Arabidopsis thaliana: one gene and its partner. The protein of the gene in region 1 interacts with the protein of each later gene in a pairwise test. Each region holds a gene or a part of one and is shown on either strand. Other genes may lie near its edges.

Region 1 (4,108 bases):
AAACCGCCGTTAGTTAACCGTTCTCCTCCGGCTATAACTACCTGCATTGTTGGAAGTTACAAAAATTTCAAAAATGATCAAAAGAATAAACGGAAACAAATCCAATAAAATCTGAAGTGAATCGATTATAGAGAAATGAAACAAACGGATTCAAATGAACGATTTAGGTTTGACTTACATGGTAGAGACGTGACAAGAAAGGCAGAAGAAAAACAAATTGTTTGCGCATTTTTGTTGAGAGTTAGAGGAAACATTCGATGGAGACAGAGAGAGTGTTGGTGAGTTATTATCGATGCAAATGTGTGTATATACACATTTCTAAGTTGGAAGTTGGAAGTTGGAACCAAGGCTTATATAGTTTTTAATCTATGAATCAATCAATACCGAAATGTCACATTTTACTCTATTAAAATCTCTGAATAAATCGTATTAGAAAATTTTGATTAAGAGGAAGAGATAAGGAAACAGCTCTAAAGACTAAAAAGGACTAAACGCACTAAACATTGCCCACTTAACACTCATGAAAAGATACATTACTTTTTGTTGGTAGAAACTGTTTCTTCACTAACTATTTTAGTATTCATACCTATTATTCGTTTATTATATCAAGTTTGAAGTTTCATTACCGATACGTGACAAGGACAAACATATAAAAATGTAAGAAGATAAACATATTAAAAGACAAAGGAAACCAAGAAGCCATCAGTCATGACGCAATGATGACACACATTTGAAGTCCCATCACTTCACACGACAACATTTCTTCTCCACAATCATTAACAAAGTGATTCAAGCCCATCTCGAGTTGCATTTTGGTTAAACTTCTATTTTTATATATAACCCCAAAATAGAAAGATAATCATTATGGTCGTTGATCAACAGAGGCTTGCAGTTACTGTTTACTTCACTAAGAATATGGATTTTTTGAAACGAGGCAAAGACAAAGAGAGTAATAATGTAGCACAAAAGCCTTAGCGTGTATGATGACATTACAAAAGAAAAGGTATCACGAAGTCATAACCTAAGCCAAAAGCTCTGCATTCAACTTTTAGAGCCATCATCACTCTTACATAGCTTAGTGCAAGACATCAGCTGATCAGGGTTTAACTCTTTTCTTGACGCTAACATAAACGGTTACGGATTTGACTTGTTTATTCTTGAGGGCGTTTCTCCTAGTGGTATTTCGAGGAATTTGTCACTCATTCAACGACGTTTACGAGCTCATACTCGATAAGGGACATGTTGGTGTCTTCTTTCACTTTGAAGCTCGCAGGCTCTGTGACTTCAACACGACCCCACTTGTCTACAGCTAGCCTCATTGATCCTTTATACATGTCGATTTTCGCATTGCGTAGAGTTACAGTTGATCCCTCTTTCATTAAGTCCACTACACACAAAACCAAATCAAGATATTACTAGCTACCCTGTAACATTACTAGAATCAAGTACACAAACCGTTATATGAACGTTTTGTTTTTCAAATGATTTATTGACTGAAGTAAAGTACCTTGGTCATTTCTTGCGGTAAAGACGATCACTCCTGTCTCGTCACCAACAATGCATTCAGAAATCCGCAACTGGCGAGCTTGAGGACCATCAGCACGACCTTTCTGTAACACCATTTTCGTGCTGACAATCTTCACATTGACATTGTGTCCGCTAGTCCCAGGACGCAGCTGATCAACCTTAGTGAAAGCTGGCTTCTTCAACCCTGCTTTGGTGGAATCTGCCATTTTCAATAACAAGAGCCTGCATTGACAATCAATCATTTCACTTCTTAACCAATTTAAAATAGATCAAATCTTCTAATGCAAATGCTGATTTATAAGATTTAGATAAGATTGACACAAGAATTAGAAAGCAGAACAATGAAGGACATTCCATATAATCTTAACAACAGAAATTTCATGTAAAGGAGATGACTTTCGACCGAGTTATAACAATGAGGCAAAACCCGAAACAAAGGGAAATCGAACTCAAGCATTAAACATAGTGCATGCATCATTATTACAAAAAGCTGGGCAGATTTGAAATCAAGACAACAACACATGAACAGCAATGTATGAGTATAAGAGATTCAAAATCAAATATCAGGGATTTAGTTTTTTTTATCAATAGCTTACCTTTGGATAAATCGAAGGCGGAGACGAACGAGAAATATCTGATTGACGATTTCCAAAAACAATCGAGCTCGGAGAAAGTTTTCTCCCTTCTCTTTTTTCTAGTTCTGGGGAAATGGACGGTGGATCTTTAATCTCTACCAAGGACCCAATCATAATTTAACACGTGTACTGATCGTGCTTCGTTGTGCGCGGTTTCTATGGTTAATCTCATCGTGCCTAGATGATCGACTTTTAGTACTGCGTTTTCTCAACTGTTGGGCTTATTCATAAAGCCCAATTTAAAGTTTAGGCCCATTAATGTCGATTGTATCTTCTTACGTAAAAATTGTACATTGTAATGTTCAAAAACCGAAGTGTTTTGTGATTGTTCTAGACTTCTGTAGTTCTAAAAGAAATGAAACAAAGATGAATCACAAAATCAGCACCAGATCAAAAACGATTATGGGCCACAATTTTTGTGATATAAACATTAAAATGACAACCACAAGAAAATATCAACCAATCAAAGAAAGCCACGAAACAGAGTATTTTAAAAACAGAGGAAAGCGAAAGAGATAAGCCTTTTAGACAAAACTAGTGGCAGACTGAAAAATGAACGCAGCGCTTGCAACAACCACCGCCACAACTCCCGTACTCCGCCGTGAGACGCCTCTTCTTCATTATTGTTCTCTCACAACAAAATCGCCGGTTTACCAAATCAACAGAGTTAGATTCGGATCTTGCGTGCAAACAGTCAGCAAGAAATTCTTGAAAATCTCGGCGAGCTCTCAGAGCGCTTCAGCGGCGGTCAATGTCACGGCGGATGCTTCGATTCCGAAAGAGATGAAGGCGTGGGTGTATAGTGACTACGGCGGAGTTGATGTTCTGAAGCTGGAGAGTAACATTGTTGTGCCGGAGATTAAAGAAGATCAGGTTTTGATTAAAGTTGTTGCGGCGGCTCTTAATCCCGTCGATGCTAAGAGACGGCAAGGGAAATTTAAAGCCACTGATTCGCCTCTCCCGGTAAATGCAAATTCAAATCTCTCTCTCTCACTCTTTTTGAAGGTTTCGGATTCTTTAACATTTTGAATCTTTCGTCGGAGTAGACTGTTCCGGGATACGACGTTGCCGGAGTAGTGGTGAAAGTGGGAAGTGCGGTGAAGGATTTGAAAGAAGGAGATGAAGTTTATGCTAACGTGAGCGAGAAAGCATTGGAAGGTCCAAAGCAGTTTGGTTCTTTAGCGGAGTACACGGCCGTGGAAGAGAAGTTATTAGCTTTAAAACCTAAAAACATCGATTTTGCGCAAGCTGCAGGGCTTCCGTTGGCGATAGAAACCGCTGATGAAGGTTTAGTTAGGACTGAATTCTCAGCCGGAAAGTCAATTCTTGTTCTTAATGGTGCCGGAGGAGTAGGGAGTCTTGTGATTCAGGTAATAGTTGGTTCCTTGTAATCTAAGAATCAGAGATTAATTGTTGTTGATTGATTACTCATATGTGTGTTCGATATAGTTGGCGAAGCACGTGTATGGAGCTTCAAAAGTAGCTGCAACTGCGAGTACAGAAAAGCTAGAGCTAGTGAGAAGCTTAGGTGCTGATTTAGCTATTGATTACACAAAGGAGAATATAGAAGACTTGCCTGACAAGTACGATGTTGTCTTTGACGCCATTGGTAAACAAACAAAACACAACACCATTAACACATATCTAATTTGTTGCAACAAAACGTTCTGATTAGAGCATCTTTTGTGTTGTTAAAAGGGATGTGTGATAAGGCAGTGAAGGTGATTAAGGAAGGAGGGAAAGTTGTGGCATTGACTGGAGCTGTCACGCCTCCTGGTTTTCGATTCGTTGTTACATCTAATGGCGATGTTTTGAAGAAACTTAACCCATATATTGAGAGTGGGAAGGTGAAGCCTGTGGTTGATCCCAAAGGACCGTTCCCATTCTCACGCGTTGCTGATGCTTTTTCATACTTAGAAACGAACCATGCCACAGGGAAGGTCGTT
Region 2 (4,437 bases), about 15 Mb from region 1:
TCGTGCTTCCTTTTCGCGGGAAGAGAACTTTCAATTACAGAGTCCTTGTCATCATCATCTGCTTCACTCTCGTCTTCATCTTCCTCTTCGTCTTCTTCGTCATCATCATCATCATCATCATCATCATCATCACTGTTATCAAAAGAGGTTTTCTTCCCTTCGTAACGAACACCAGCTATTTTCTTTGGCCGGTCTTTGATACCCAGTCCTTGTTTTCCCGCTGTGGCTTTATCCTACAGACATTCCAAAACGTCAATATATTATTAGATCCCAACCTCTTTTCCAAGAACAGCCTGCAAAGAACATACCTGAACCATGTTGTAAAGATTCTCTTGATCATTCTCACTAAACATTTTTCTCTCGCTAGCTTTTAATTTCTTTTTGCCCGACTTGGCCCCCAGAAGACCACCCGAGACAAACCCGGATTTAAATCCCCACCAGTTCGAAGAAGGTTCTTCAATTTTCTGTTCTGTTCAGTCCAAAAGATCCATACATTTTCAGTTCAAAAAAAAGAGCAGAAAGTCACAATTTCAAGATGCAAGGACAAACTAATCACCTTTAATACTAGCATCTTGGTCCTCAGATATAATTTCAATATCCATAGAATCGGCTATGTCACAAACTGCAGGAGAAGGATCCTCAGTTCGCTTAACCTACAAAACAGTAAAATAACGTGCCTAAGTCGGACTATCACTTTCATAATGAGATTTGTTTACATAATGGTGATAGCAGAGAAAATTCTAACAACATGCACAAGTTCACAGTACATGTAGAAGTTATGATCCATTCTAATCAACATGAATCTTGATCATGAGCGGATAAAAGACAGGACAGAACTGTTTTGAAAGGAAGCTTACCAGTATTCCTTCAAGATCTTTAGACGAGTATGAATTGACAAGCTTCCCTTTCTCTCTACGTTTATACCTTCCTTGTGGACGAGTGACTTTAGCAACGGTCTTCAACTTGGCAGGCTCAGATTTGACAGCATCATCTTCACTTTCATCTTCCTTATCTGAATCTATCGTATGCCACATAAAACAACAATCATTAGGATAAATAAGCTTCTCTAAGTCAAGAAAGAACTCAACTTAATAAGAAAAACTTATACCATCATCATTCTTGCTAGTCTTGGTAGGAGCAGCTTGCTGCAAATAACACACACACATACACAAAAAGATTGAAATTATTTCAAATATTTCAAAGAGCATAGTTAAAACGAAAGATGAACACAGCCATTACCACTTTCAATTTCTTGAGAATGTTATCGAACTGAGTTGTATCAAATGCCCATGGATTTGGCTTATCAAGACCAACACCTGCTCCAACATTTTAAAAAAATTCAGACCTATAACATAAACGATAGATGCATATACACCACACAAATATACAAAAGGCTTAAAGTAGCTCTATCTTGATTCCACAACTTCACATTCACCAAATTACATAAACTAAACTATGTAAACAGACATTTCCTCCTAAAAACCGAAAATAATGTTGTTGTTTTTTAGTGTAAGTGAAAAGTAGCTCTATTAAAGTTTCCTCCAATCTAAATTCCACCGAGAAAAATTCAAATCACTAGTTTCCATTAAGGAGAAGAAGAAGAAGAAACTAACCAGATGTATCTTGTTTGTTCGTAACTCTCACATAACCTTTGATACCTTGCTTATCTTTACCAAGTCCTTCTCCTTCTTCCCAACCCTAAAAAAATCACCAATCCAAAAAATTAGGTCTTCTCCTTTATAAAATCTCTACACACATTAACATCATTACAGGAAAATTCACTCACCATCGATTTCATAAGCTTGAAAGCGGCGGAATCCTTACATATTCCGACGTACTTAACCGGAGCTTCCGGCGCCGCCATCTTCTCTTCTAATTTTCCGGCGATTGAATGGAGACAATGCGTCGCCGTTTTTCAAAAGCGGTGCGGAAGAGAAGAGTGGGCGAGGAAGTTTAGAGAAACTGGAACAGAAAACCTAAAGCGAAGAAGTGATGAGTAAAACTCCTCTACACGTGGTCTTTAGTAAACTTCAGTGGATATGTAACATGATCGACGGTCGAGAGTTTATCATATTTTAAATGGGCTTTAGGAAGGAAAGGCCCAATAAAGAAATGAATATTTCCACCACAGAATTATGAATTGAGTAAACCAGAAAATCGAAGAAGAACGGCAATGGCTACTTCTTCTACTCAGCTTCTACTGTCTTCTTCTTCTTTGTTTCACTCTCAAATTACCAAAAAGCCATTCCTTCTCCCGGCGACGAAGATCGGCGTTTGGAGACCGAAGAAGTCTCTCTCGTTATCATGTCGTCCTTCAGCCTCGGTTTCAGCTGCTTCTTCCGCCGTCGACGTCAATGAATCTGTGACTTCAGAGAAACCAACCAAAACGCTTCCGTTTCGAATCGGTCATGGTTTCGATCTACATCGTTTAGAGCCAGGGTATCCTCTGATCATCGGTGGGATTGTTATTCCTCATGATAGAGGCTGCGAAGCTCACTCCGATGGTAAACATTTCTTGAAATTCGATTTGGTTAATTCGTCTTCTTGTAGATTTTAGGGTTTTGATTTGAGTTTGATGTTGGAATTTGTGTAGGCGATGTGTTACTTCATTGTGTAGTGGATGCAATTTTGGGAGCACTAGGCCTTCCAGATATAGGTCAGATTTTCCCTGACTCTGATCCTAAATGGAAAGGAGCTGCTTCTTCTGTATTCATCAAAGAAGCTGTAAGATTTCGACGCTTACCTTGATGTTCAATTTTGTGTGTATGTTCCAGTATTAGCTACTTCTTCTTTAAGCCTTATTTTGTGTGTGGTACTTTATAGAATGGTTCAGAATTCAAGCTAGATCCATAAGTTGATGGGATTTACTCAGCTTAATAATACTCTTGAGTAAATTATTTTCATCTATAGGAAGTCGAAGAAATATGGAAATCAGATCTTATCCCTGAACTGTTGTCATCACTCAACGATGCTATCTATAAGCTTATCACTCTTGTATACATGATTTTTGTCTTGAAAAGCCTTGGCATAACTCAATTTTCTGTTGAATTTTAGGTTCCTGCATCTTTGTATTGTTAGATTTCAACACATATGATTGATGATAAGTAGAGGTACTCAAGGTTGAAGCTATAAAGTTTCTTTCTTGTCCTGTCTTTTAAGTTATGGGTTCACATTTGGCGTAATGTGTTTGTTAAGTTCACCATGATTGACTGTGAATGTTGATTGCGTGGAAGCTAATCTGAATCACTTGTAATGATGTTATATAGATATAACAGAAGAAATGTTAGATTCTCGTCGGTATGAAGAATGATTCAATAAACTTGAGACGAGGTTTATTTGACTTTGTGTTTCAGGTGAGACTCATGGACGAGGCAGGGTATGAGATAGGAAACCTAGACGCGACGTTGATTCTCCAGAGACCAAAAATTAGTCCACACAAAGAGACAATCCGATCCAATCTGTCCAAGCTTCTTGGAGCAGATCCTTCTGTAGTGAACTTGAAAGCCAAAACACATGAGAAAGTTGATAGCCTCGGAGAAAACAGAAGCATAGCAGCTCACACTGTTATTCTCCTCATGAAGAAATAGAAGTCAAAATTGATTTTAGCTCTTTATCATATTCCTTAAAGTGTCTCATCTTTTAAGAAAAACATACTTTTGATTGTAAAGTGTAATCATCCTTTAAAGGTTAATTAATCGAATCGTTTCGTAGAAGCAGAGAAAATCGAATCATATTTTGTTGATGATTCATTGTGATTCCTAGTTCCTTGGTCAGATTTGAATATAATTGGAAACTGTGTCTTGGACTGCAAGTTCCTTGTGACACAATTTTTTATTTGTCTGTCATATAGTTGTTGCTTTCCTTGTCTACATGAATTCTTAAATCAAAATCAGAGAATAATAATATCATACTGAAATAAATACATCAATGATCAGAGAATAATCCTTACCCGTCAATATAAAATCAACTTCTGACTAATCAGAGACTTAACATACTGCAAATCTTAAGAGATTATACAGCCGTGATCATGATCGCACACAATAGTAGTGTGATGATGCATTGGACAAACCGGAGTGTCATGGTGAGACTGAGACCGGTAAAGAGCTTCTTCACGTTCACGTTCACGTTCACGTTCATTTTCTTCTTTCTTCTTCTTTTCCGCAGCTGCAGCGGTTTCCGCTTCCTTCTTCGGATCGAACGGGCCAAATGTAGCCATTTTCGCACTCTCCCATCTCTTTTTGAGTTTTTTGAGAATCTGCATTTCGTCAAACTCACCAATCACCGTTAACTTCCCTTCTTTTGAATCCATGGTAATAGTTGTAATTCCTGGAATAAAAAGTGTTAAGATTTAGGTCTTGAGACTAAGGAAGATCTTTTCAAGGTGGTAGGTTCTTTTGAGATTTCAATTCATAATCCATAAAGAAAACCAAAAACAGA

The links.
Region 2: the proteins of AT1G23750 (region 1) and ISPF interact in a two-hybrid assay, tested with the Arabidopsis thaliana proteins (one large-scale study listed by BioGRID).

What each region holds. Positions count from the first base shown.
Region 1 is NC_003070.9:8,398,263-8,402,370, reverse strand, and holds AT1G23750 (Nucleic acid-binding, OB-fold-like protein), read right to left. Parts: upstream 2,316-4,108; 5' UTR 2,124-2,315; intron 1,750-2,123; 5' UTR 1,734-1,749; coding exon 1,508-1,733; intron 1,388-1,507; coding exon 1,200-1,387; 3' UTR 821-1,199; downstream 1-820. Other genes in the region: JP630 (BURP domain-containing protein), read right to left, coding at 1-41, 179-229; AOR (Oxidoreductase, zinc-binding dehydrogenase family protein), read left to right, coding at 2,715-3,125, 3,209-3,532, 3,612-3,771, 3,861-4,108.
Region 2 is NC_003070.9:23,738,073-23,742,509, reverse strand, and holds ISPF (isoprenoid F), read left to right. Parts: upstream 1-2,125; 5' UTR 2,126-2,173; coding exon 2,174-2,504; intron 2,505-2,593; coding exon 2,594-2,724; coding exon of another isoform or gene 2,725-2,748; exon of another isoform or gene 2,749-2,762; intron 2,763-3,353; coding exon 3,354-3,587; 3' UTR 3,588-3,837; downstream 3,838-4,437. Other genes in the region: AT1G63980 (D111/G-patch domain-containing protein), read right to left, coding at 1-233, 309-469, 557-653, 858-1,018, 1,109-1,145, 1,240-1,316, 1,614-1,698, 1,787-1,864; AT1G63960 (Copper transport protein family), read right to left, coding at 4,004-4,326. UniProt on the Arabidopsis thaliana protein: Enzyme of the plastid non-mevalonate pathway for isoprenoid biosynthesis that converts 4-diphosphocytidyl-2C-methyl-D-erythritol 2-phosphate into 2C-methyl-D-erythritol 2,4-cyclodiphosphate and CMP. Is essential for chloroplast development.